7 linked regions of the Sus scrofa genome follow. The protein of the gene in region 1 interacts with the protein of each later gene in a pairwise test. Links are inferred from orthologs where the notes say so. Each region holds a gene or a part of one and is shown in the gene's direction. Other genes may lie near its edges. The genes, in order: LNX1, RAD51D, NADK, NUDT14, ACAT2, RPIA and melanoma-associated antigen B18-like.

What was found.
Region 2: the proteins of LNX1 (region 1) and RAD51D interact in binary tests that used the Homo sapiens proteins (3 or more experiments, as listed by UniProt). The two-hybrid records come from large-scale screens. The link is inferred for Sus scrofa from reciprocal best matches to the Homo sapiens genes LNX1 and RAD51D.
Region 3: the proteins of LNX1 (region 1) and NADK interact in binary tests that used the Homo sapiens proteins (3 or more experiments, as listed by UniProt). The link is inferred for Sus scrofa from reciprocal best matches to the Homo sapiens genes LNX1 and NADK.
Region 4: the proteins of LNX1 (region 1) and NUDT14 interact in binary tests that used the Homo sapiens proteins (3 or more experiments, as listed by UniProt). The two-hybrid records come from large-scale screens. The link is inferred for Sus scrofa from reciprocal best matches to the Homo sapiens genes LNX1 and NUDT14.
Region 5: the proteins of LNX1 (region 1) and ACAT2 interact in binary tests that used the Homo sapiens proteins (3 or more experiments, as listed by UniProt). The two-hybrid records come from large-scale screens. The link is inferred for Sus scrofa from reciprocal best matches to the Homo sapiens genes LNX1 and ACAT2.
Region 6: the proteins of LNX1 (region 1) and RPIA interact in binary tests that used the Homo sapiens proteins (3 or more experiments, as listed by UniProt). The link is inferred for Sus scrofa from reciprocal best matches to the Homo sapiens genes LNX1 and RPIA.
Region 7: the proteins of LNX1 (region 1) and melanoma-associated antigen B18-like interact in binary tests that used the Homo sapiens proteins (3 or more experiments, as listed by UniProt). The link is inferred for Sus scrofa from reciprocal best matches to the Homo sapiens genes LNX1 and MAGEB18.

What each region holds. Positions count from the first base shown.
Region 1 is NC_010450.4:40,346,535-40,350,034, reverse strand, and holds part of LNX1 (E3 ubiquitin-protein ligase LNX), read left to right. Parts: intron 1-1,784; 5' UTR 1,785-1,888; coding exon 1,889-2,280; intron 2,281-3,500.
Region 2 is NC_010454.4:40,052,996-40,056,976, forward strand, and holds the start of RAD51D (DNA repair protein RAD51 homolog 4), read left to right. Parts: upstream 1-1,181; 5' UTR 1,182-1,335; coding exon 1,336-1,456; intron 1,457-1,753; coding exon 1,754-1,815; intron 1,816-1,999; coding exon 2,000-2,118; intron 2,119-3,981. UniProt on the Homo sapiens protein: Involved in the homologous recombination repair (HRR) pathway of double-stranded DNA breaks arising during DNA replication or induced by DNA-damaging agents. Bind to single-stranded DNA (ssDNA) and has DNA-dependent ATPase activity.
Region 3 is NC_010448.4:63,849,620-63,853,088, reverse strand, and holds part of NADK (NAD kinase), read left to right. Parts: intron 1-1,285; coding exon 1,286-1,415; intron 1,416-1,696; coding exon 1,697-1,805; intron 1,806-1,908; coding exon 1,909-1,994; intron 1,995-2,751; coding exon 2,752-2,854; intron 2,855-3,214; coding exon 3,215-3,369; intron 3,370-3,469.
Region 4 is NW_018084979.1:3,291,497-3,293,917, reverse strand, and holds part of NUDT14 (uridine diphosphate glucose pyrophosphatase), read left to right. Parts: exon of another isoform or gene 1-46; intron 47-133; coding exon 134-177; intron 178-729; coding exon 730-794; intron 795-928; coding exon 929-1,166; intron 1,167-1,351; coding exon 1,352-1,483; intron 1,484-2,421. UniProt on the Homo sapiens protein: Hydrolyzes UDP-glucose to glucose 1-phosphate and UMP and ADP-ribose to ribose 5-phosphate and AMP. The physiological substrate is probably UDP-glucose. Poor activity on other substrates such as ADP-glucose, CDP-glucose, GDP-glucose and GDP-mannose.
Region 5 is NC_010443.5:7,610,062-7,614,200, reverse strand, and holds the start of ACAT2 (acetyl-CoA acetyltransferase, cytosolic), read left to right. Parts: upstream 1-1,339; 5' UTR 1,340-1,446; coding exon 1,447-1,501; intron 1,502-2,215; coding exon 2,216-2,350; intron 2,351-4,139. UniProt on the Homo sapiens protein: Involved in the biosynthetic pathway of cholesterol.
Region 6 is NC_010445.4:57,359,449-57,362,948, reverse strand, and holds part of RPIA (ribose-5-phosphate isomerase), read left to right. Parts: intron 1-1,248; coding exon 1,249-1,348; intron 1,349-3,500. UniProt on the Homo sapiens protein: Catalyzes the reversible conversion of ribose-5-phosphate to ribulose 5-phosphate and participates in the first step of the non-oxidative branch of the pentose phosphate pathway.
Region 7 is NC_010461.5:22,081,666-22,084,540, forward strand, and holds melanoma-associated antigen B18-like, read left to right. Parts: upstream 1-1,251; 5' UTR 1,252-1,346; coding exon 1,347-2,375; downstream 2,376-2,875. UniProt on the Homo sapiens protein: May enhance ubiquitin ligase activity of RING-type zinc finger-containing E3 ubiquitin-protein ligases. Proposed to act through recruitment and/or stabilization of the Ubl-conjugating enzyme (E2) at the E3:substrate complex.

The sequences.
Region 1 (3,500 bases):
ACAAAGTTTATGATTATCATTTTTTCTAACTTCACTCTCCTGCAGCTCATTAAGAAAAACAACTGAAGGCCAAAAAAAATGTTTATTGATTGATCATCCAGAAGACTTCCTACATGTTAACTGGGCATGTTAAAAACTCCATCTTAAACTCCTATACCAAAGGGAGGTACACAGTGTGATAGAATTTTACCAGTTTGAATAAACATACGTATAATTGAATGAAAGAAGCCTACTAAGAGTTCCCACTGTGGCTCAGTGGAAATGAATCCGACTGGGATCCATGAGGATTCGGGTTTGATCCCTAGCCTTACTTAGTGGGTCGGGGATCCAGCATTGCCACAAGCTGTGGTGTAGGTCCCAGGTGCAGCTTGGATCCCATGTTGCTGTGGCTGTGGCGTAGGTCAGCAGCTGTAGCTCTGATTTGACCCCTAGCTTGGAAACTTCCATATGCCATGGTGTGGCCCTAGGAAAAAAAAAAAAAAAAAAAAAAAAAGAATACTATTAGAACGAAGCAAAAAGACTCCTTATAAGAATTATAACTTTCAGTTTACAGGCCAATTAAGCTTGACTGGAGATAGAATGACTTCAGTGGCCAATGCATGTAAGAATAGTTAATAGTTAGAAAGCCCTTACTATATTCCAGGCATAATTATAAAAGCTTTATGTCTCATATCTCATTTAATACTCACAACAACCCCATGAGGTCACTATTATTACCCTCATTTTAGCTATGGAAACAAAGGCCTCAATCATTGGCCCACAGTGGTGGTAGGAATGGCCCAGGCCATGTGGCTCCAGAACCTACTTCATCACTAATGACTAGAATAAATGCAAGGCACACAGCAGAAAACAGTGCTTTCATCACCATAAATTACAACAGCCTCAACTGCTCCTAGTTCCTCAGATGATTTAGTTGAAGATTCTGAGGTCCCATATTTTCTGAGTTTTGGAGAAAAGTTGGGGCAAGAATCAGAGAAAGCCATCAGAGCATTTACTGTTTCTTCTTCTTGTCCTGATCTGACAAAGAACATATTATATATATGTGTGTGTGTGTATTTTATATATATATATATGTATGTACATTTATGTATATATGTATGTGTGTGCATATATGTGTGTGTGTATGTGTATATATATATATGTGTGTGTATATATATATATATATTTTTTTTTTTTTTTTTTTTTGCTTTTTAGGGCCGCACCCATGGCATATGGAGGTTTCCAGGCCAGGGGTCCAATCGCAGCTACAGATGTTGGCCTGCACCACAGCCACAGCAACACCAGATTCGAGCCACATCTGCAACCTACACCATAGTTCACGGCAACACTGGATCCTTAACCCACTGAGCAAGACCAGGGATCAAAACCTCAACCTCGTGGTTCCCAGTCAGATGCATTTCTGCTGCTCCATGATGGGAACTCCTGACAGAGAATTTTATAGATCATTGGTCTATTGGATTAACAATTTACATTTCAGAAGGCAGATTTCTGGGCACATCGCAGATTTTACCCAAATGATTTTCATCGCACCAACAGGAGGATGTTAATGGTAAATATTATTCCCACTGGAATAGGTGGTTAAACTGAGGCCTAAGGAGGCAAAGCCGCTGGCCCCAGGTCACCTCAGTCACCCTCGTGGGCACTCACCCTGGCCTCCCTGGGGCACAGCTCATGGGCACTCACCCTGGCCTACCTGGGGCACAGCTCAGCTCAGTTCTGTCCACTAGCCGCATTGCCTCACGTCCATGATAGCATCTTCAGTGAGCAGTCTTGCTCTCTTTCAGGTTTGTGGATGGCACCAAGAAGATCTTGATTTGCTCCAGAGGAAATACTGTATCCCCGGGGTTGGTTTCCTGTGCTCCTGCCCTGCCCTGCTGCCCAGCTGACCATGAACCTGTCAGACCCCGCTGATGAACCGGACCTCAGCCCTGCACCCCTATGTGTGGTGTGTGGCCAAGCCCACTCCCCCGAGGAAAACCACTTCTACACTTACCCAGAAGAGGTGGACGATGACCTCATTTGCCACATCTGCCTGCAGGCACTGCTGGACCCTCTGGACACTCCCTGTGGACACACGTACTGCACAGTCTGCCTCACCAACTTCCTGGTGGAGAAGGACTTCTGCCCCGTGGACCGCAAGCCTGTGGTCTTGCAGCACTGCAAGAAATCCAGCATCCTGGTCAACAAGCTCCTCAACAAGCTGCTGGTGACCTGCCCATTCACCGAGCACTGTGAGGAGGTGCTGCAGCGCTGTGACCTGGAGCATCACTTTCAAACAAGGTAGGGAGGGGCTCCTCCTCGGCCAATCCTGAGAAGCCCCGCCCTCATGGTGGCTGAAAGGGCGGGGCCTTCCGAGGCCCAGGTGCGCTCAGAGATGGTCCTTTCTCTGCCTTCTGCTTTGCAACCAGAGACAGTATTCATTCAAAATAAGAAACGTTTTAGGTGTTCACGGCTGTGGTTCCATATGAGGAAAGAGCACGTGGTAAAATTGTGGGATGTGAGTGTACGCTTGTGCTTATAGGCTGGTTTTTTCTATAAAATAGACATAACATAAAATTTACCATGTTAGAATTTTAAGTGTACAGTTCAATGACATTGAGTACATTCATTTTGTTGTGCATCCATCACTAGCATCCATCTCCAGAACTTTTTTCATTTTTCAGAACTAAAACTTCACATCCATTAAAAAAAAAAATGAGTTCCCACTGTGGCACAGCAGGTTATGAACCCAAATAGTATCCATGAGGATGCGGATTCCAACCCTGGCCTCCCTCAGTGGGTTAAGGATCCAGCATTGCCATGAGCTGTGGTGTAAGTCAGATGCAGATAGGATGTGGGGTTGCTGTGGCTGTGGTGTAAGCCAGCAGCTACAGCTCTGACTCAACCCCTGGCCGGGGAACCTCCATTTGCTTGCAGGTGTAGCCCTAAGTAGAAAAACAACAGCAAAATGCATAACTTTCCATTCCCTCCTCTCCAGCACTGATAACCACCATTCTACTTTCTGTCTCTATGAATTTGATTGCTCTACAAACCTCATATAAGAAACATTGCTGGTGTCTGTCCTTTGTGACTAGCTTATTTCCTTTGTGTGCATTCAAATTGTGAAAGATACTGAAAAAAATGACAAGAAGCTTTCTCTGGGGCTTACAGTCCCCTAAAAGATTTCCTAGTAGGCATTGCCTGTCTTTTTATGTAAGAAAAGCATGTCTCCTAATTTGGCCCATGATTGTTAGAATTGCCTCTGCACAGGAAACCTTTGGGAAAAGCCCAACCATCCTTTGAGGTATGGTATTTTCAACTAAGTTTTAAAAGGGAGAAATTTAGGAAGTCCCTTTTGTGGCTCAGTGGTGACGATCCTAGTATCCAGGAGGATGCGGACTCGATTCCTGGCCTCGCTCAGTGGGTTAAGGATCCAGCGTTGCCCTGAGCTGTGGTGTAGGTCAAAGACAGGGCTTGGATCCAGCATTGCTGTGGCTGTGCTGTAGACCTTTGGCTACAGC
Region 2 (3,981 bases), on another chromosome or scaffold:
AGTGACTTTGTCTACAGGCTCTATATCCAGAAATCCTAGGCAGCAAACCTCATATGTCTTAGCTGTGCAGGCACAGGAAAAACCCAGATGGTTCATAGCTCACATATACCCAGGTTTACTGCTAAAACTCTAAATTCTACTGAGCCCTCACCCCAGTGTCATCACGTCTTGAGGGATAGTGGGTGCTTTCAGAGGCAGACAGAAATGGGCCAGATGTTTCTGTTCTCAATGAAACCACTTCACAGTAGGGAAACATATACACAACTTGGGGGTGGGGAGGGGGCGCTGTTAAAACAGCACTGGCTTTGCACCGAAATATAAATTCGTCTGCTCCAAGTCCAGCTCTGTCCTTACAGGCTGTGAAACCTTTGGCAAGTGACTTTACTGCACTGAGCCTCAGTTTCCTCGTCTGTAAAATAGGGGTAAATACAGAACCTACCTCACTGGATTGTAAGAGGATAACCTTGTAAAGTTGTTTTCTCTCTTCCAGAGGGTAAGGTTAAGAAAAGATCTTTCAAAATACCAAATCACATGGTGTTCCCATCGTGGCGCAGTGGTTAACGAATCCGACTAGGAACCATGAGGTTGCAGGTTTGATCCGTGGCCTTGCTCAGTGGGTTAAGGATGTGGTGTTGCCGTGAGCTGTGGTGTAGGTTGCAGATGGGGCTCGGATCCCGCGTGGCTGTGGCTGTGGAGCGGGCTGGTGGCTACAGCTCCAATTAGACCCTTAGCCTGGGAACCTCCATATGCCATGGGAGCGGCCCTAGAAAAGACCAAAAAAAAAAAAAAAAAAAAAAAAAGTGTGTGTGTGTGTTCTATATACTCAGGGTTTTTACTGTTGATCATTCAAAATTACTTTTATTTGGAAAACAGAAGCAGATGTCCTCTCTGCGCGCTGCTGCTTTCAAGCACCTATCAGACGACTGCTGAGGATCTGATTAGATTCTTTGTCACTGTCTTCCCTCACCAACAGGTAGGTCCCTGAGAGTAGGGATGGTGGGTCCCATCCAACGTTCTGGACCAGCGTTCATTATGGAAAGTGGCACCAGGGAGGCTGGCGAGGAGGCGTGATGGGGAAAAGGCAGGGGACCCAACTTCGTGCCGCCCACGCGGGGCCGCGGGAGCCCTCCCGTCCGCCCGGCGGTCGGCAGGTGGCGCCGCAGGCCAGGCCCTGGAGCCTGGAAACCGGAAGCGGCGGCGGGGCCGGGCAGGCAGGCTCCTGGGCGCGGGAGACCAGGCAGGGTCCACACCCTGTGCGCCGCCTCCTCCCGACGCCAGCCCCCAGCGTTTGGTCCGGAAGGGGGTGCTGCGGGGTGTCTGGAGAGGGCCTCGCGGATGCCCCCAGGACCAGCGGCCCCGGGGCCTCCAGGGAACATGGGCGTGCTTCGGGCCGGACTGTGCCCCGGCCTCACTCAGGACATGGTCCAGCTTCTGCAGAGCCGCGGGATCAAGACAGGTGACCGTGGGCGCGCGCCTGTGCGGGCCACATGGCTGGGCCCAGCGCGGAGGCTGGCCCCGGCCCTGGCCCACTGGGTGGGGCCCCTCCCCTGCCTCCGACGCCCACAGCCTTCTGGCAGAGCTTGGGAGGGTGGGACTGGGCAAGCCCCGCTCCAGGAGGGCTAGAACCCCCCACTGTGGGCTAGGCGCCGCGCCAGCCCCCGCGGCTCCGCTAGTTCGCGTAGGCGAGGAAAAGTCACGGGCGGGAGTCTGGGGCCTCCCTTGCGCGCATCAACCCCGCGTGTTTTGTTTTCAGTGGTGGACCTGGTTTCTGCAGACTTGGAGGAGGTAGCCCAGAAATGTGGTTTGTCTTATAAGGTGAGCTGGCGATCTCCACACTCCAACATGGGTGTCTCTAAATGCCCATCCCCGAGCAGAGTGTCCCCAGAGATTGATAAGGGGGGGGCTAGGAGACCCTGGATGGCCCCCTCCCTTGGCGGGTCGCTGCCGCACACTCCCGGCTGCTCCGGCAGCTTCCTGAGTTGCCCCGCCCCTTCCGCAGGCCCTGGTCGCCCTGAGGCGGGTGCTGCTGGCTCAGTTCTCCGCTTTTCCCTGCAATGGCGCTGATCTCTACGAGGAACTGAAGACGTCCACGGCCATCCTGTCCACCGGCATTAGAAGGTTTGTGTGTGTGTAGCTGGGGCAGAAGGCGAGAGGCCAGAGGCTCTGGCTGGGCTTTTGATGCTTGAGAAAGAGCAGGCTGCTTCAGCTGTGGTTGAAGGAGACACGGGAGGGGGGTCAGGATTTCTGAGTTATCTTACCCTGTACAGAGTTTCTCTGACTCCTAACCACTTAGGATGCATAATTTTGGGGGTGGCTGTCTTGTGCATATAGTAGGATGTCTGGCAGCATCCCTGGCCTCCACCCCAGTAGATGCCAGTTACACCCCTCTCCTTCATAGGTCATGACTATCAAAAATGGCTCTAGCTGTTGCCAAATGACCCTGGGGGCCAAAATTGCTACTGGTTGAGAATCACTGTCCTGTAACACAAGATGTCAGCACTTCCACAGATATTATTCCACAGATCAGAGCAACTTTTCTCTGGCCCTTTCTGCCCTTTCACTTAAGGATGGGGCAGGGAGTTCCCCTTGTAGCTCACTGGGTTAAGAACCTGAGGTGGGTTAAGTATCCATAAGGATGCATGTTTGATCCTTGGTCTTGCTGAGTGGCTTAAAGATCTGACATTGCTGTGAGCTGTGTAGGTCACAGACGGGTCTTGGATCTGGTGTTGCTGCGGCTGTGGTGTAGGCTGGCGGCAGCAGCTCCAATTTGACCCCTAGCCTGCGAACTTTCATATGCTGCGGGCACAGCCCCAAAAAGAAAAAAAACGATGGGGCAAGAGAGCACAACTGAATACCATTTATTTGAGTGCCTACTATATACCAGCCAGGGCTCCAGCCCTGGCGCACTTGATCCAGAACCTGGTTCTTTCGCTGTACTCTGCAGCAGGAAGGGACAGGAGTGATTTATGTTCTGCTGTGCAGTTTGGAGAGGGAACGCGTTGGAAGAAAACAGGCGGCTTCTGGCCAAGGAAGGCTGACCTCTTTCCTGGCCTGTTTGTACAGAATTTGATAAAGAGCACTGCCACCACCAAGGTCTTTGGATTGGTTTGGCCTTTGCTCTTTCCCGTGCATGTCCTCTTGGCAAGGTTCATATAGCATGGCGCCTGCTTTCTGCAGCTGGGGGTCCAGGTCTGTCATTCATCAAGCACTGGCCAAGTGCCTATAGGTGACAGATGTATGCCAATGATACGAATATGCGTGAGGCAAGGCCCTCGCACTTAAGGAGTGTGGGGTCTGGTGGGTAGAGAAAAGCAAGGGACAGAAGAGAGGGGTGTGGGCACGTGTGTGTTGGGGGTGGTGACTAACAGGGAGCAGCCTTGGCCTTTGGGAATTTATAAAACCAGCCCAGGCATTCCCACTGTGGTGCCACAGGACCAGCAGCATCTTGGGAGCCCTGGGATACAGGTTAGATCCCCAACCTGGCACAGTGGGTTAAGGATCTGGTGTTGCTGCAGCTGTGGCTTAGGATATGATCCCTGGCCTGGGAATTCCATGTGCCATGGGGCGGTCAGAAAAAAAGAAGAAGGGGGGTTCCCGTCATGGCACAGTGGTTAACGAATCCGACTAGGAACCATGAGGTTGTGGGTTTGGTCCTTGGCCTTGCTCAGTGGGTTGCCGAGAGCTGTGGTGTAGGTTGCAGACGCGGCTCAGGATCCCGCGTTGCTGTGGCTCTGGCGTAGGCCGGTGGCTACAGCTCCTATTAGACCCCTAGCCTGGGAACTTCCATATGTCACGGGAGGGGCCCTAGAAAAGCCAAAAAACAAAAAAAAAAAAAAGAAGAAAAAAACCAGCATATACTGAAGCAGCATTTCGGAAACAGTCAGGTGGAAAATTGGCAGAATGGCAGCTGCCATGGGTCACTGCAAGGGACTTCACTGTCTGGGAGGCTCTGTGGAGGAGGCAGGCCTTGGGCAGTCTGGA
Region 3 (3,469 bases), on another chromosome or scaffold:
CAGCCCGATGGGATGGACCATCCGGGAATGGACCACCCGGGGCGGCAGAGCTCGGGCGTGGCGTTTGTTTTCAGTGGCGATTCGCCAGGAGGGTCCCCCCGAGGTAGGAGGAGAGAAGGCAGTTTGATTGGTGTGCATTTAGGTCAGGAGGCGCCCGACGCTGCTCTGGACACGGCCTCTCGCAAGGCGCTGTGTTAGCAGGTCAGAAAGGAGGTGTTTGGAGCCAGGGTGCAGGTGGGGAGTTGGGGCGCTGCTTTGCCTTCCTCTCCTGCCGTTCACCAAGCATGGCCGAGATGCTGTGCACAGAGCCCCAGCCCCCGCAGGGCCCCGCTTGAGACCAGGCAGAGGAGGTAACGGGTGACCTTCCCCTGGCAGAAATGCCTGGAAAGGGTGAGTGATGGGTGGTCGGAGCACAGGGCCAGGGACCCGCCCCTCCCTTTAGGGGTTCGCATCACGATTTTGAAAGTTGCTGGCGAGGCCATCAGGTGCTGAGGGAGGCGCTGTCCCTCGAAGTACGGTTTGGAGCAGGTCTTGGGGACTTGGCGTCAGAGGGCAGGTCTTTTGCTGCCACGCACATCTCAGGGCTGTTTCCCAACAGTCTGGCGGGCATTTCTGGGGTACACACGGCAGTCATAGCCCCCGCTAGGGGGCTCAGCCTCAGGACACCCCTGCCCCCAAGGGGACTTGCTGCCCAGGGATCTCGCCGGTGCAGGGACCAAGGTGCAGGGACTTATTTTTTAACTATTTGAGCAGTTTTAGGTTTGTGCAAAAGCGAGGGGAAGGGAGCGGTCCCGCATCCCCGCCCCCTGAGCCTGAGCCTCCCCCACCTTCAGCATCCCCGCAGAGGGGGCGCTGGTTACAAGCGGTGAGCCTGCGCGGACCTCGGCCCACCCCGAGTCCCTAGTTCCTTCCGGGACCTCGTGCTGCGCGTCCTGAGCTGTGGACAAACGTGCGATGACTCGTAGCCGTTGGGATGGCGCAGAGCCGCCTCCCTGCCCCAAATCCTGCCTTTGACTTTGAAACAGAGTGGGTTTTGACTGTGAAGGTTAAGGGTCAGCCGAGCGGCTCACCCCCACCTCTGAGTCCTGCCCCCGCCGATCCTTGTTGGGCCGGTTCGGGCGCCTGCGCCGTGTCTCGGGGGCAGGTCCCGCTGCACCTTGCGGAGGAGCCGAGGGTAGGGGTGCTGGGGGGGGCGACGCTGCCCGGGATTCAGCAGCCTCGTGGTCGTGTCAGGACAGCCCTCAGTGCGGCCGTGGCGGGTGTGAATGCTCCCCTCCCCTCCCAGGCACATCCAGGACCCTGCCAGCCAGCGGTTGACGTGGAACAAGTCCCCCAAGAGTGTCCTCGTCATCAAGAAGGTCCGGGATGCCAGCCTGCTCCAGCCCTTCAGGGAGCTCTGCACGTACCTGATGGAGGTGAGCGCCGAGCGGCCAGCTCCCCGCACCCCCGTGCTCGCACCGGCCTTGCCTCGGACCCACGGCTCCTTGGGACCACGGTGCCCTGACCCCCGCTCCGACCACAGCTGCAGGAACAGGAGCGTTCCCGCCTCCTGCCGGTGCAGTGGGGCTGTGCGGGGGCAGGCGGTTTGGGGAGCGGCCTCCCCTTGCCGGCAGGGCCAAGGCGCCGAGCGGGCTTCTCGAGGACAGCCCAGGCCGCGCCGCGTCTTACCGGCGGGCTGACGGGTGGCGCCTTCCAGCAGAACAACATGATCGTGTACGTGGAGAAGAAAGTCCTGGAGGACCCCGCCCTCGTGAGCGACGACCACTTCGGGCCGATGAAGAGGAGGTTCTGCACCTTCCGAGAAGGCGAGTTGCCCCCGGGCCCCGCCCCACCGGGCAGCCGCCCCGCCGCCGCCACCGCCGCCAGGCCGCTTGAAGGCTGCTCTGGCGTCTGCTGTTCTGCTTATAGATTACGACGACATCTCGAACCAGATCGACCTCATCATCTGCCTGGGCGGCGACGGGACGCTGCTCTACGCCTCCTCGCTCTTCCAGGTGGGGTGCTGGCGCCGTGCGGGCCGGGTCCTGCTCCAGCGGGGCTGTGGTGTCTCTTCAGTTCATTATTTGGCGATGGGGTCTGCAGGCGTGGGCAGCTGTGCTAGGCCCCTGACGGTCCCCTGGGCTGGGCTGGGAGGAGGCCCCAGGCCTGGCCCCTTGCTGGGCGATGGGCCAGCGCTGGGGAGGAGCTGCAGGCCGACCGTCAGAGCCCAGCGGGGTGCCGGCGGGCTGGGCACCACGTGCTGCGAGCCACCGGGCTGGACCGCGCACGGCTCCCACTGGGCAGAGGAGGAGAGCGAGGGTCCTGGCAGGTATCCCACCCCCTCAGAGCTGCCCAGCCGTCGTTTCTCAGCTCCCACCACGGGTGCCCTCCCCATCTCCCCACTCCCCGCCCCCCCGCCCCCGCCCCACCTGCTCCTCCCTCCTTTGCGGGAGCAGCTCTCAAGGGGCTGCGGAACTGCCTTTGGGGCAGCCCTTCCACCCCTGGCCCCTCTGCTCCTCCCCGTTGTCTCTTGCGGTCTCTCCACGCTCCCGGAACCTGCCCCAGGGTCCCCGCTCTCCGCCACTGTTCCCCTGGCCTCCCTGACCCTTGGCTGACCTCGTTCATGCACCACCCCCTCTGAGTCCGCCCCCTCCCCGCAGCGGGCACCGACGTGCACCTAGCGCACGTCCCTCCCGGGCTTAGGCGGGCGAGGGTCCGTCAGGGCTGGGGTGGCTCCGGGGCTTCTGAGTGACCTGCCTCCTCGGCTCACAGGGCAGCGTGCCTCCAGTCATGGCGTTCCACTTGGGCTCCCTGGGCTTCCTGACTCCCTTCAACTTTGAGAACTTTCAGTCCCAAGTTACTCAGGTGATACAGGGTGAGTTGGAATGTTCCAGAACCCTCGAGCAGTCCCCGAGGCGGGATTGTCTTCTTACCTGGCGTGGGTTTTTTCTAATGATGCGTAGGACCACATTTGAGTGTTTCAGGACTCAGAGACTTCTGAGTTTGGGGTGGTTCAAGCGTTTTTCCCTGACGTGAGACGTTGGAGCTCTCACAGGATCAGGCCTCTGTACGTGCCCGGGGGCAGTGAGCTGAGCTCCACAGGAGGCAGGGCGGTGCTCGTTTGGGAGCAGAAAGGGCAGGGGGGCGGTCTCTGGCTAGGGGGGCTCTCTTCCTGTGGGCGCCACAGCCCCCTTCCCTGCTGACCGGCCTGGGCGTGACCCCTGCTGGCCCCCAGGCAACGCGGCTATTGTTCTGCGGAGCCGCCTGAAGGTCAGGGTCGTGAAGGAACTCTGCGGGAAGAAGCTGGCCGTCCCCAACGGGGTCAGCGAGCACGGAATGCTGGCCACAGCCCTGGACGCGGAGCTCGGGAAGCAGGTCATGCAGTACCAGGTCTGTCCGGGTCCCTCCCCCCCCGCCCCCCGGGCTGTGCCCCCCCCCGCCCTCGGGACCTTGCCAGCGCCCAGGGCCGCCCGGCACTGCAGCCCCTGAG
Region 4 (2,421 bases), on another chromosome or scaffold:
GACCCGGGCGGTGACTGGGTCTCCCTGGTCGGAGCTGGTGTGGCAGGTCTGCGTGGCCCTCTCAGCTCCCGGAGCACCTCCGCCTGCACTGGCAGCCCTTCCGCCCTCCCTGACTGCTGCCCGCCTCTTTCAGAACGGCACCCAGAAGTCGTGGGACTTTGTGAAGACTCATGACAGGTGAGGTCCCAGCCGGGCTGGCCACGGGGGAAGCCCCAGCCTGATGCCCACGGGGACCCTGTATTTCTGAAGTCCCCGCCCTCATTTCCTTTCACTGGGGGGTCAGCCCAAGGCCTGGGCCCCGAGCTCAGACCTCCTGGACCGTGGTGGGCGACGGGCCCTCTGGGACCCGAGAGAGGCCGCCCGGGTGCCCTTGCCCCTGACATTGGGGGTGTGGGCCGGGTGGCAGTGTGGCTTCAGGAGCACAGCTGGCAACAGCTGGCCAGCAGGGGCCACATGTCTTGTCAGTCACCCGTTCTCAGCTGCTGCCGCCCCCAGCCTGCCCAGCGGCCGCCCAGCGTGTCCTTCCACCCCGTGCCCTCGGCCTGGGTCCTGGCCTGACTGCGCGACCCTGGGGACCTCTGACCCGGCCTGGCCTCACAGTGTCCCTCTGAACAAGGGACCCCACCTTCCCGGGCCTTTGAGGAGAGGCGGTGGGCTGGGCATGCTGGGAACAGGAGATGGGACGCCGGGGCCCCCAGGGCGGCGCGCTGAGCACTGTCCCCGCTGCAGTGTGACCCTTCTCATGTTCAACGCTTCCCGGAGGAGCCTGGTGTTGGTGAAGCAGTTCCGGCCAGGTGAGGGGGCCCGAGCGGGAGCGGGGAGGGGAGGCCCGCGGGTCAGGGCGCGGACGTGGGGAGCCTGAGGCCGCCCCCGGTCACGTGGAGGGGGCCGCCACCGGCTGTGACCGCGGTCTGCCGCCCCCGCCCAGCTGTGTATGCTGGCGCGGTGGAGCGCCTCTTCCCCGGCTCCCTGGTCGCCGCCGACCAGGACAGGCCCCGGGAGCTGCCGGCAGCGCTGCCCGGCTCGGCCGGGGTGACCTTCGAGCTGTGCGCCGGCCTCGTGGATCAGCCCGGGCTCTCGCTGGAGGAAGTTGCCTGCAAGGAAGCCTGGGAGGAGTGCGGCTACCGCCTGGCCCCCTCTGACCTGCGCCGGGTCGCCTCGTACAAGTGAGTGGGGCTGGGCCGTGGGGTCCCGTAGTCAGCGCAGGGGCTGGGCCGGGCTGCCCGGGGGGCAGGGAGCGCCCCGTCCCCAGAGGCGTGCCAGGCAGGGCGAATCCCTGCTCTGCAGCCTGGAGTTGTTTGGGAAGGTTGGCTGGACAGCCCTTCAGCTCCTGATCCAGGCCGGAACCCAGGGCTCCAGGGCCTTGTTCTGTAGCCCCCCGCCCCCCGCAGCCCCGAGCCGTGTGGGGCCTGCTCGGGTGGCAGCTGCTGCTGACTGATGCCTCCACTTCCTGCGGGATTAAGCACCGGGCACTGGCGGTGGGGTGAGTCACAGGTCTGCTCGGACGGCGGCTCGGCAGTGAGGGGAGGGAGAGTCCTGGGCCGGGGCTGGTGGGGGGGGTGGGGCTCGGGCCCTCCTGGGAGGGGAGGAAGTGCAGCCCGGGGCCTGGACGTCAGGGCTGCCCCTCAGAGCCTAGGTGCCCGCCTGCACCCGCTCCCGGGAGGTCACACTGGGGCCACATTCCCAGAACAGGATGGTGGCCCGAAGCCTGCCTTTCCCCTGGGGACATGCGATGGGTCCCTGACCCCGGTGAAGCCCCGGCAGGAGAAGTGCCCCCGACGCTGAGCACCAGCCCCTGGCGACCTTCTCCAGACGGGGAGGGGGCCTCGGGAAGCTCTGCCACCTTTAGTCTAGCGCAGGGGCCACTCAGGGTGGGGCCCTGCCTCAAACACACAGGGCCTCGAGCGTGGGGACGGAGTTGGCCGAAGGAGACGATCCAGGGCCTGGCGCCTCCCCGTTCAGTGTGGGATTTCTACGTCGGAGGATCCAGCCTCTCAGGGAGAGGGGTCTTGGTTATGTGCAGGCACCCTCCACGGGGCCCACTGGTGGCCACTCGGCCCTGGAGCCTTTTGGGCTGGAGGTTTGGGGGGCGGGGGGAGAATCCAAGGGGCCTGAGCTAGGTAGGGTAGGGGCGAGCCGGGGGCAGGCGGAGGTGCCCTGGACGGCTGGGGTCCCCCGAGGAGGTGAGTCTGAGCCGAGTCCCGGCCGAGGGGCTGCGTGGCAAAGGCATGGGGCGGGGGGATGGCAGCCCTGGCTGCTGTGGTTCCGCAAGCCGGGCCTCTGGGCTTGGCCTGATGCTGAGGGTACTCGGGAGCCAGGGAGGGCCCTAGGCAGTGTGTAGCCTGCTCAGCCTGTGCTCTAGAGATGAGGAATGGCTGTGGGGAGGCTGGCCTGGAAGGGGCTGGAGCCGAGCGCTCCCCC
Region 5 (4,139 bases), on another chromosome or scaffold:
TATCATGAAAATGCATTAACATCTGTTTGATAAGCATTAAGCAAGTCCCTACTGTGTGTCCAACACTGTCCCAGGTGCTAGAGAGAATAAGACTGGAGTTCCCGGAGTTCCCGTCGTGGCGCAGTGGTTAACGAATCCGACTAGGAACCATGAGGTTGCGGGTTCGGTCCCTGCCCTTGCTCAGTGGGTTAACGATCCGGCGTTGCCGTGAGCTGTGGTGTAGGTTGCAGACGCGGCTCGGATCCCGCGTTGCTGTGGCCCTGGCATAGGCCGGTGGCTACAGCTCCGATTCGACCCTTAGCCTGGGAACCTCCATATGCCGCGAGATCGGCCCAAGAAATAGCAACAATAACAACAACAACAACAACAACAAAAGACTGGAGTTCCCCTTGCGGCTGAGCAGGTTAAGAACCCGATTAGTATCCATGAGGACTCAGGTTCAATCCCTGGCCTAGCTCAGTGGGTCAAGGATCCAGCATTGCCTTGGGAGCTGTGATGTAGGTCGCAGATGTGGCTCAGATCTGGCGAGGCTATGGCTGTGGCCTAGGCTAGCAGCTGTAGATCCAATTTGACTGCTAGCCTGGGAACTTCCATATGACACAGGTTCTGCGATAAAAAACAAAAGTACAAAAAAAAAAGAGCGGAAGAAAAAGACAAAACAAGACCTCTCCCTGGGAGCTCTGGGAGATTAGACTACATTGAGGATTGCGTCCACGGGAAATAGCCAGAGCTGAGACTGGAAAGTGACTGGGGCCAGGCATTGAGGTTCCCAAGGAAACTGACAGATTTTGAACCTTGCCCAGTAGGGGATAGGAGATTGGAAAAGGTTTTAAACAGAAGAGTGATCCAACCTGTTATTAACGCTCCTCTCCTTCCAGACTGTCCCTCTTGTCAACCAGAGGACCCCTTTATCTGGGGGACACTGAGTCACTGCGACTTCCTCACACACCGCTACAGCTCATCTTCCAGGCTAAGAAGGCCAACCCCACAGAAGGGCGCGGAGTCCAGAGAACCAAGTCAACCCCTAAGTGAATTAACACAAAAGAACTTTGGAAGCCACGAGAGCGAGCAAAAAGCACATGAGAACCGCCCGCAGGCCTGCAGGTGGCAGGACTCCACCTAAGCTCAAAATAGACAACCTTATCCCCCCAAATAAAAACGTCAAGACAGGAACGACAACGCCGGGCTGCTCAGATTAAACTCCACACTGGCGGTGGGCTTAGGCCTGTGTCCGAGGTCCACCAGCGCGTCCTGGGACCGCGGCCCCCTCAGCCCCGCCCGACTCCGCCCTCGCGCCTGCGCATTGGCGCCCGCGGAGGAGGGGGCGGAGAGCTGTCTGAGGCCCCGCCCCCCGGGTTGCCTTCTCAGCCGCAGGGCGGGGCTTTGCTCACTCGCTCGCGGCGTGGAGTCCACACCAGCTCGGGAGGAGCTCGATTGTGCAGAAGGATGAGTGCAGGCTCGGACCCCGTGGTCATCGTCTCGGCGGCGCGGACCGTCATAGGTGAGCGATCGGCAAGCCTGGCGGGGGTCTGAGCTGAGAGCTCGGCCGGGCCGGATCTCAGGGACCCCACCCTTCCCCGCCCCCCGGACTTCCCCCCTCGCCCTCCGGGACCCTCGGAACCCGCCGTCTCGCGCCTTCCTCGGCCGGTCGGGTTTCCCCGCCCCCCTCCTCGCCTGGTGAGGGCCTGTCTATTCCGAGTGCTTTGATTGGCTTCCTGGGTGGGACCACTGCGCCCTCCGCCTGTCCCGTTGCGAGGCGAAGAGAGTCGCTCTCTCGCGACGCTCCTCATTGGCCAGCTCCTGGAAGCGCCACCTCGGCCCTGTGGCCACAGGCGCATGGAGACGGTGGACCCAGCCGGGTCGCTGGGCAGGAGTCGCGTTAGGTAAAGGAGGATTAGTGAGAATTGCCCAGTGTCGGTGTAGATTTCAAGAGTCCCGGATGCGCTAGAGTGTCAACCTTTTTGTTAGGGAGGCGTGGGCTGCGCCCATCCTCTCAGACTTCGGGAATGGATGGGCAGGTTTTCTGCAGGTCCGCAGCCTCCCGGCGCGCCCTGGGGGGCACCTGCCCGGGGTGCGTCTGCTGCGAGTCACACACGCCCCTCTCTGTGCCCGGACGAGCTGCGGTGGGCGCCTGTGCAGGGGGAAAGCGCCGGTCCGCCAGCTCCCGCTGCCCTGGGCGCCCTCCCCATTGCCCTCGCCTTCCCTTCTGTTCTAGGCTCCTTCAATGGTGCTTTGTCCACCGTTCCTGTCCATGACCTGGGCTCGACTGTCATCAGAGAGGTCCTGAAGAGGGCCAATGTGGATCCCAAGGAGGTATCAGAGGTCATATTTGGACACGTTTTGACAGCAGGTAACTCCACAGTGACCCAGGCAGAAGTCAGGTTTATTAGAAACAGCCCATTAACCCTCCCCTCCAAACACACAGAAACTTAAGTTCTTGTCTGTGCACGTTTGCTGACGGCGTTCTCTCTGTTAGAATACTCCGTGGTGTCCCTGTGCCAAGCCCCATCAATAGCTTCTCTCAGCAGAACACTAAGCGTCTTTAATATACTTTTCCTTAGGGGTTCCGGTCGTGGCTCAGTGGAAGTGAATCTGACTAGCATCCATGAGGACGCAGGTTCAGTCCCTGGCCTCGCTCAGGGTTAAGGATCCAGCGTTGCTGTGAGCTGTGGTGGACCGCAGACATGGTACAGATCTAGCGTGGCTGTGGCTGCGGCAGTGGCAAAGGCCAGTGGCTACAGCTCCTACTGGACCCCTAGCCTGGGAACTCTATATGCCATGGGTGTGGCCCTAAAAAGAAAAAAATAGAGCGATCCTGGATCACCATCTTTTCCTGCTTTTTCAGTTTTTAGAAGCAGGATCAGCCTGAAGCATGAGAGAATGTATATGCAGGGCCTTTCATAGTTCCCTAAAGTGGGACACATTCAATAAAAATGTATTGAAATTCTTTGAGGAGTTCCCTGGTGGCTCAGTGAGTCAAGAATTCTGCTTTGTCACCGCTGCGACTTGGTTTTGGCCTGGGAACCTGTGCATGCCATGGGTGCGGCCAGAATCCAACCCAACACAAATCTCTTGAGTTCCAAGCAAAAGCTGTGCAAGGTGGTGGGAATAGGGCTTCCCCAGAACAGGTCAGGGCGGTTCCCCGCCCACACACGGCTCGCTTCTGAGCTGGCAAGGTGGGTTCTCCCAGGGAAGGGCGAGTCACCACCCCTGGATGGGCGGGCACCGGTGAACCACCTGGAATGCTTCAGCTTACTTCTGATTCCCGCTGGGCTTATACACCTACGGCCACTGATAGTTCCTAGCTATTCCTAACTAGTTTCTCGTACACTCGGTTGCATAAATTCTAATTATTCATAGGGATAATGGTTCATGCTTACAGCCAACCTTGGTCCTGACCTGATCTGAGACCTGGCCCATTTTTCGGTGCATCTCCTTCGTAGTTTTGTAGTTCCTCTTCCTCATTCTCCTTCACTTGGCCTGTGGACAAATCAGGCACGCCACTTGCTCCAAGGCATTAAATAGATGGGTAGCACCCCGCTGGCTGCTCTTAGGCCACTTCCGCCTTTCTTCTTCCCAGACCCTCAGCTCAGCCTCGTCAGTGGCATAGCGGCCTCCACCCCTGGTTTCTCTGTTACCTCTTTCACATCTCACCTCTGTGGTATCTTCACATAATTCTTGTTTTTTTTCTTTCTTTTTTTTTTTTTTTTTTTTTTTTTTTTGGTCTTTTTGTCTTTTTAGGGCCACACCCGTGGCATATGGATGTTCCCAGGCTAGGGGTCTAATCGAAGCAATAGCTGCCGGCTTACTTCACAGCCACAGCAACGCAGGATCCAAGCTGCATCTGTGACCTACACTACAGCTCAAGGCAGTGCCAACTCCTTAACCCACTGAGCAAGGCCAGGGATCGAACCTGTGCCCTCATGGATACTAGTCAAGTTTGCTACTGCAGAGTCTCGATGGGAACATAAGAGGTTTCTTTTTTTTTTTTCTTTTTTGGCCACCCCACGGCATATTCAATGCCTGTGCTAGGGATCATTCCAGCCACAGCCGTGACCTAAACTGCAGCTGCAGCAACACTGGATCCTTAACCTGCTGTGCTGGGCACCTGCGTCCCAGCGTTCACAAGACACCACTGA
Region 6 (3,500 bases), on another chromosome or scaffold:
AATCATCCAAAAACTAACTGTAGTTGCAGTCAGAACTATATAAAAAGGTGGAAACATAACAGGAAAAAAAAGCAACTCATCTGTAATTCTACCCTGATGAATTTTTATTTTGCTGTGTTTTTTCCCGGCGTTTTGGTGACTTTTTAAGTCATAGTCCCAATCATGGTGGTTGTGCAGAGCTCAGACTCTGGCTCCCTGTGTAGCTGAAAAGCCAAGAAGAGATAGTGGGGGTTCTCTCATGGCTGGGGCCACACAATAGCCCAGCACCTCGCCTTTGTGGGGTTCTTAACTGGGCTCCCACCCCGCCTCCTCCAGTTTGCAGAGGAGTCCCGTTTCCTTGCCCTTGACTGTAGTGTTTTCTGTCACCGTTTGTGATCCTCAACTCTAGAAAGTGCCCAAAGCTGTCGTGGATAAATTAACTAAAATTACTCCCAGCCTGTTTGCTCTAGGACCTGTCTCTGCTCCCTGTCTGCTGATGGGGCTGCCTGAACCCAGGGGGTGCATTGTCTTCGTGTTACTGATGGTTCCTAATGTGAAGCTGTGGGAGTGTTGTACCTTGGTGGTGGTCTCTTCTGTTGCTGTGGGGTGTTTTTTTTTGGTCTTTTTGCCTTTTCTAGGGCCACTCCCTCGGCATATGGAGGTTCCCAGGCTAGGGGTCCAGTCGGAGCTGTAGCTGCCGGCCTATACCATAGCCACAGCAACGTGCCATCTGAGCCACATCTGCAACTTACACCACAGCTCACGGCAACACCGGATCCTTAACCCACTGAGCAAGGCCAGAGATCGAATCCACAGCCTCATGGTTCCTAGTCGGATTTGTTAACCACTGAGCCATGACGGGAACTCCCTGCTGTGGTTTTTCACTCTGATAATAGCTAAGAATCGTGGAGTCCTCACTGTGGGCCCCCATTGTGAGCTCCCACTGTGCTAAATGCTTCCCCATGTGGTTTATAAACTGCCTTATGAAGCATGTTTCATTTTCCCTTTTTTGCAGTTGATGAATCTGAGGCTCACAGAAGTTAATAGCTTCTCTGAGATCTAAACCCTGTGTAGCTTTAAGACTCCAGTTCTGACTCCAAGCTCCTGCTCCTTATTGCTTTGTAGCACTGCCTTCTAGGAGCACAAGGCGGGGGTACTGGTTAGAACAGGTTAATTAAGTATTGGTCTTTGGTTAGCACTTCTGCTCTTCTACCCCTTTCTGTCCACCTGTATCTACATCCTCTGTAAATGTGGGAAATTGTCTTCTAGGGACCTGTGGTGACAGATAATGGAAATTTTATCCTGGACTGGAAGTTCGACCGGGTCCACAAATGGAGTGAAGTGAACACAGCTATCACCATGATCCCAGGTAACGTGTGCGGTGCTCGCTGAGCCTGGATGCCCATGCCCCTTGGAACTGTCCCCTGCCTTGGGCAGCAGGAGGCATCATGGAAAGAATTTCCTTTATGCAATGGCTAGGGATTTTAACTTAACACTTTTGCTTTTTCCCCTCTGGGAATAGTCATAGCTCACCCAGCAGCTTTGTTATTTGGCAGTTCACAGCCTGTTTCAGTAGGGATAGGTCTGGAGCTGACGGATTGTCAGAGGGGCCTGGCCTTGAAATCAGCCCACCCTCTCCCTGCAGGAGCCTGACTGCAGCCTCTTTGTTTTTTGTTTTTCTTTTATTTTTTAAAGTTTTATTGAAGTAGACTTGATTTATAATGTTGTAAAAGTAGGATTGGTTCATTTTTTTTTTTTTTTTTCTTTTTCAGCCACCCTGTGGCATGTGGAGTTCCCGGGCCAGGGATTAGATCTGAGCCACAGCTGGGGCAATGCTGCATCCTTAACCCACTGTGCTGGGCCAGGAATTGAACCTGCGTCTCAGAGCTCCAGAGATGCCTCCGATCCTGTTGTACCACAGTGGGAACTCCTGCAGCCTCTTTGATTTTGGCATGTTCTCTGGGAAAGAGTGACTCTTTCACCCACATGCATTAGGCACCTGCCACAGGCAAGGTGCATGCCACGTGTTATGGGGCATCTCCCGCCCGTGGAACGTAGGGTCTGCCTCAGGAAGAGTTAACAGAGCCTGGAGGGAGCTGTGCCTACAAATAAGACAGAGTGTGGAATGCCAAGAGTCTGGAGTTGCTTCTTCCACAGAGGAGTGGTGACTTCTGACACTGTGCCAAGTGTCTGAAAAGGTCTCGTTTGGTCCTAACTTAATGAGATGGTTATAGAGGAGGACGCAGGTCGAGGACATGTGTGCGTGGCTTCTCAGCACCAAGCTGGGCGCCTTGATTGTCTGCCCTAGACCCTGGCCTTTCAGCCCTTTCCTCAAGAGCCAGATTGGGGAGGGGTCGTGTGACACAAGCGTGCGGAGCAGTGGGGAGCCTCCAGTGCAGCTTGTACTGGGGACCTGGGGCTTGGCTGGAGGGCAGTGGAGAGGTGATTCTGAGTCCAGGCCAGAGGTGGTATTGGGGGCTCCTACGAGGGATTTAAAAGAGGAGGCAGATGTATGAGGTATCCGACTTATGATATTGAGCCACTGAGATTCTAACCGGGAATGTTACACGACGTGAAATATTCTTGGGCCAGAATAGGCTGATGGGTCTAATAGATGGGTAAGGTCTTTAGTAGATTGTAGTGTCTGGTCATGGATTCTGGAGCAGACAGCCTGGGTAAGGATCCAAACCCAGGCTCTCTCTCTGTGTGGTTCGTTTCTCTCTCTCTGCCTCAGTCTCTTCTCTGTAAAAGACGCTGCTGTCAGTACCTACCTCACAGGCTTGTTGGGAGGATTAAATGAGTTAATAGGGTGCCCAGCACACAAGGGAGTGTTTGTTGAATGAATACATTGCTAGGAAGAAAGGATACTGTCTTCATCATTAATTAAATGTGCTAGATTAGATTTTAATGTATCCATGCTCTTGGGAATTAAATACATATAAATGTATGAAGTGAAAAATATATAGCCATGTAATAATAAAGAGCTAATTCTTCCAATCGTACTTTAATTTACTATTTTAATCTTTTAGTGACAGTCTTTTTCCAGATTTACTAAGTAAAAGAGATGGGTAGATTTATGCTTATTCTCTCACTTGGTGTTATCTTTTTATTGGAAGAACTATGGAACCAAAAAGGCAGGAGGAAGGGGAGTCTAGAGGTCACGGTTAGTAATAACAGAATTAGCCCCAGTGATCGTGCAAACAAACAGCTCCCCGGTGCTGGCGCTTGTTCCTCTGTAGGTGGATCCTTGCATTGCCCACTCGGTAGCTCTGTTGCACCTGCTTAGACCTTTGTGGGCTTATTGAGACGTTGAGATGTCCTTCGTGAGCACATTTCTCCCATACTTTGCTCTCCACCTCACTGCATCCTGAGAAGCTGAGGGTTTTTTAAGGGATGTAAAGTGAAGGAAATGGCAAAAGAGAGGCTAGACGTTACATTGTTTAGTGCGGTGTCACCAGGGTCATCAGCATGGTCTGTTCTCTGTCTCCTTTTCCTCCTCGGTCTGTTTTAATACTTGCTGC
Region 7 (2,875 bases), on another chromosome or scaffold:
ACACCAAAGAAACTGGCTGCCAAATATTAAAATATATAAGGAACTTAAGCAAGCTGGTACAGAAGATCACCACACCAAAACCAAGACTCTTTCCACACAAAACAAATAACTAATTAGAATATGTAATAGAAAATAACACCATTCAAAATAGCATTGATATCCCAAATACACCTAAAAAGAGAACTAACAAACTTGATCTTTATGGAAGCAAATAGAAAAAAAAAAATTACTGATGCACTAAGGTAAAAGAAGACTCAAATAGAACAATATTATGTTTATTTATGGTGAGTAGAATATTGTACAGATGTCAATTCTTCTTAAATTATTTACGGGCTTATGCCTTACCTGATAGGTTTCGCACTGAATCAGCAAGGAAGTAACCCAGCACCTACAAGGCATCAAGGTAAGACACTGAGTGAGGACTGAGTGAAGACTGAGTGAGGAACCCCCCAAATTAAGGGGCCACAAAGGGGCCCCTACTGTCAGTCCCATTAGACTCAGGTGCCCCCCTACTTCCTACCTGGGATTCTGAGTGAAATGAGAACCTTGGTCAGAGGCCAGCTGACTTATCTCAGGAGAGGAAGAAGTCCCAGGCCCTGTCAGGAGTCACGAAAAACTCCTTCCAGAGTTCTGCATGATTCCTCAGTCTCCCAGAACCGAGATAGAACTCCCCATAACCCCACCCCTGCTATAACTCCTGCTGGGAGGATGGGGTGGGCGTGGCAAGAAGTGCTCACCCTGATTTCTGCCACACCAGCCATGGAAACTTAGGCCTAGGTCTGAGGAGTGTGGTCCCATATCAGCAGAGGGAGGAGTTCCAGGATTGGACTGATGTCAAGGTGAGTAATCTTTGTTTGAACTGAAGGGACAGACTCCTCCCAGCACTGAGGTGTCCTCGCAAAGTCCCGCCATATTCTGACATGTTCCATCCCCACCCTTAACCCCAAGGGGCTCAAACAGGGCTGTTAGGCCCAATGCCCCTCCCCAACTCTCAGTGGGAGAATTTGTGGTGTGAGAAGCCCTGGTCTGAAGGGGCAGCCTCAAGTCAAGAGCAGGAGGAGTTAAAAGACTGGTCAGGAGCCAAGTTTAGTATACTGGGTTAGAACTGAGATCACAAGCCTCTGCAGATCAGAGGAGGTCCACAGAGTCTCACCACCCTTGTTTTGTGGTTTCCTAAAACAGTACCCCTAAGAAAATCAGCAAAGGCAGCTTTTCTTGGCAGCCAAGGTGGAAGAATCTCCCTGCTGAGGCTGTGCACACCATTTCTTTCTCTGTCTTCTAGGGCGACCTCTCCAAAAACCTAATTGCTTGAACAACTGTGCCTACTGTCCCTGACCAAAGTCATCATGCCTCGAGGACAGAAGAGTAAGCTCCGAGCCCGTGAGAAACGCCGCCAGGCCCGTGCTGAGACCCAGGGTCTGGAAGATGCTCAGGCTACTGCCGCAGCAGCAGGAGAGTCCCTGTCCCTGGTCCATGCTCTCACTGAGGACAGACCTCAGAATTTATCTGCTGCTGAGACACCTAGCACTCCTGAGGCGCCACAGGGAACCACCGATGCTAGTGCAGCTGTTTCATGCACCAATTCGGATGAAGGTACCAGCAGCCAAAAGGAGGAAAGCTCAAAATCCTCCAGGGGCACTGAGGGCTCACGCAGAGATCCTTTAAACAAGAAGGTGGTTTTGTTGGTACAGTTCCTGTTGCAAAAGTATCAAAAAAAAGAGCCAATTACGAAGGCAGACATGCTGAAGTTTGTTATTAAAAAGTACAAATATCATTTCAATGAGATCCTCAAGAGAGCCTCTGAGCACATGGAGCTGGCCTTTGGTGTTGATTTGAAGGAAGTGGATCCTACCAGGCACTGCTATGCCCTTGTCAGCAAACTAGACCTCACCTTTGATGGAACGATGAATGAAGAAGAGAACATGCCCAAGACTGGCCTTCTAATGATTGTACTGGGTGTGATCTTCATGAATGGCAAATGTGCCCCTGAAGAGGAGATCTGGGAAGTGCTGAATATGATGGGTGTATATGCTGAGAGGAAGCACTTCCTCTATGGGGATCCCAAGAAGGTTATCACTGAAGATTTGGTGCAGCTAAAGTACCTGGAGTACCGTCAGGTTCCTGACAGTGATCCTCCTCGATATGAGTTCCTATGGGGCCCAAGGGCACATGCTGAAACCAGCAAGATGAAAGTCCTGGAGTTTTTAGCCAAGGTTCATGATACTGTGCCCAGTGCATTCCCATCCTGGTACGAAGAGGCTCTGAGAGATGAGGAAGAAAGAGCCCAAGCCAGAGCTGCAGCCAGGGCTCGACTTGCGGCCATGGCCAGTGTGCGCTCCAGGGCCACAGCCAGCAACCTCTCCCATGCTAAGTGAAGTCCGAGGACAGTTCTTCACTTTTGGTTGAAAAGGTGTGGCAATGTTCTAATGGTGGAGGGCTAGGGTGGGACTTGAGAAGTATATCATCGTTGTATTCCTGTTATATATTGCTAACTTGGAATTTTACCTTTCTTTTTCTTTCTTTAGGTTGTATTTCGAATGATGAAATCTAAGAAATATTGTTTTCCTTGTGGAAAAAGAGCAGTAACATTTTAAGTGGGGGATGACCAGTGGGTCTGGAAAGAACACAGCGTATATCATCTTTGTGTTTCTGTTCTCTATGGTAAACTTATAGTTTAATCTTTTGCCTTCCTTTTCTTGTCCCTTCTTTTTTCTTTCCTCCCTCCCTCCTTCTCTCCCTTCCTTCCTGTCACTTTTTCTTTCCTTTGGTTATATTTTAAATGTTGTTTCTTTAATAGAAGGTAGAAATAATTGCAGAATCTAAATTTATTAATTATTTCAGTTACATATTTATTAGATTTAATTTAATAGATTTA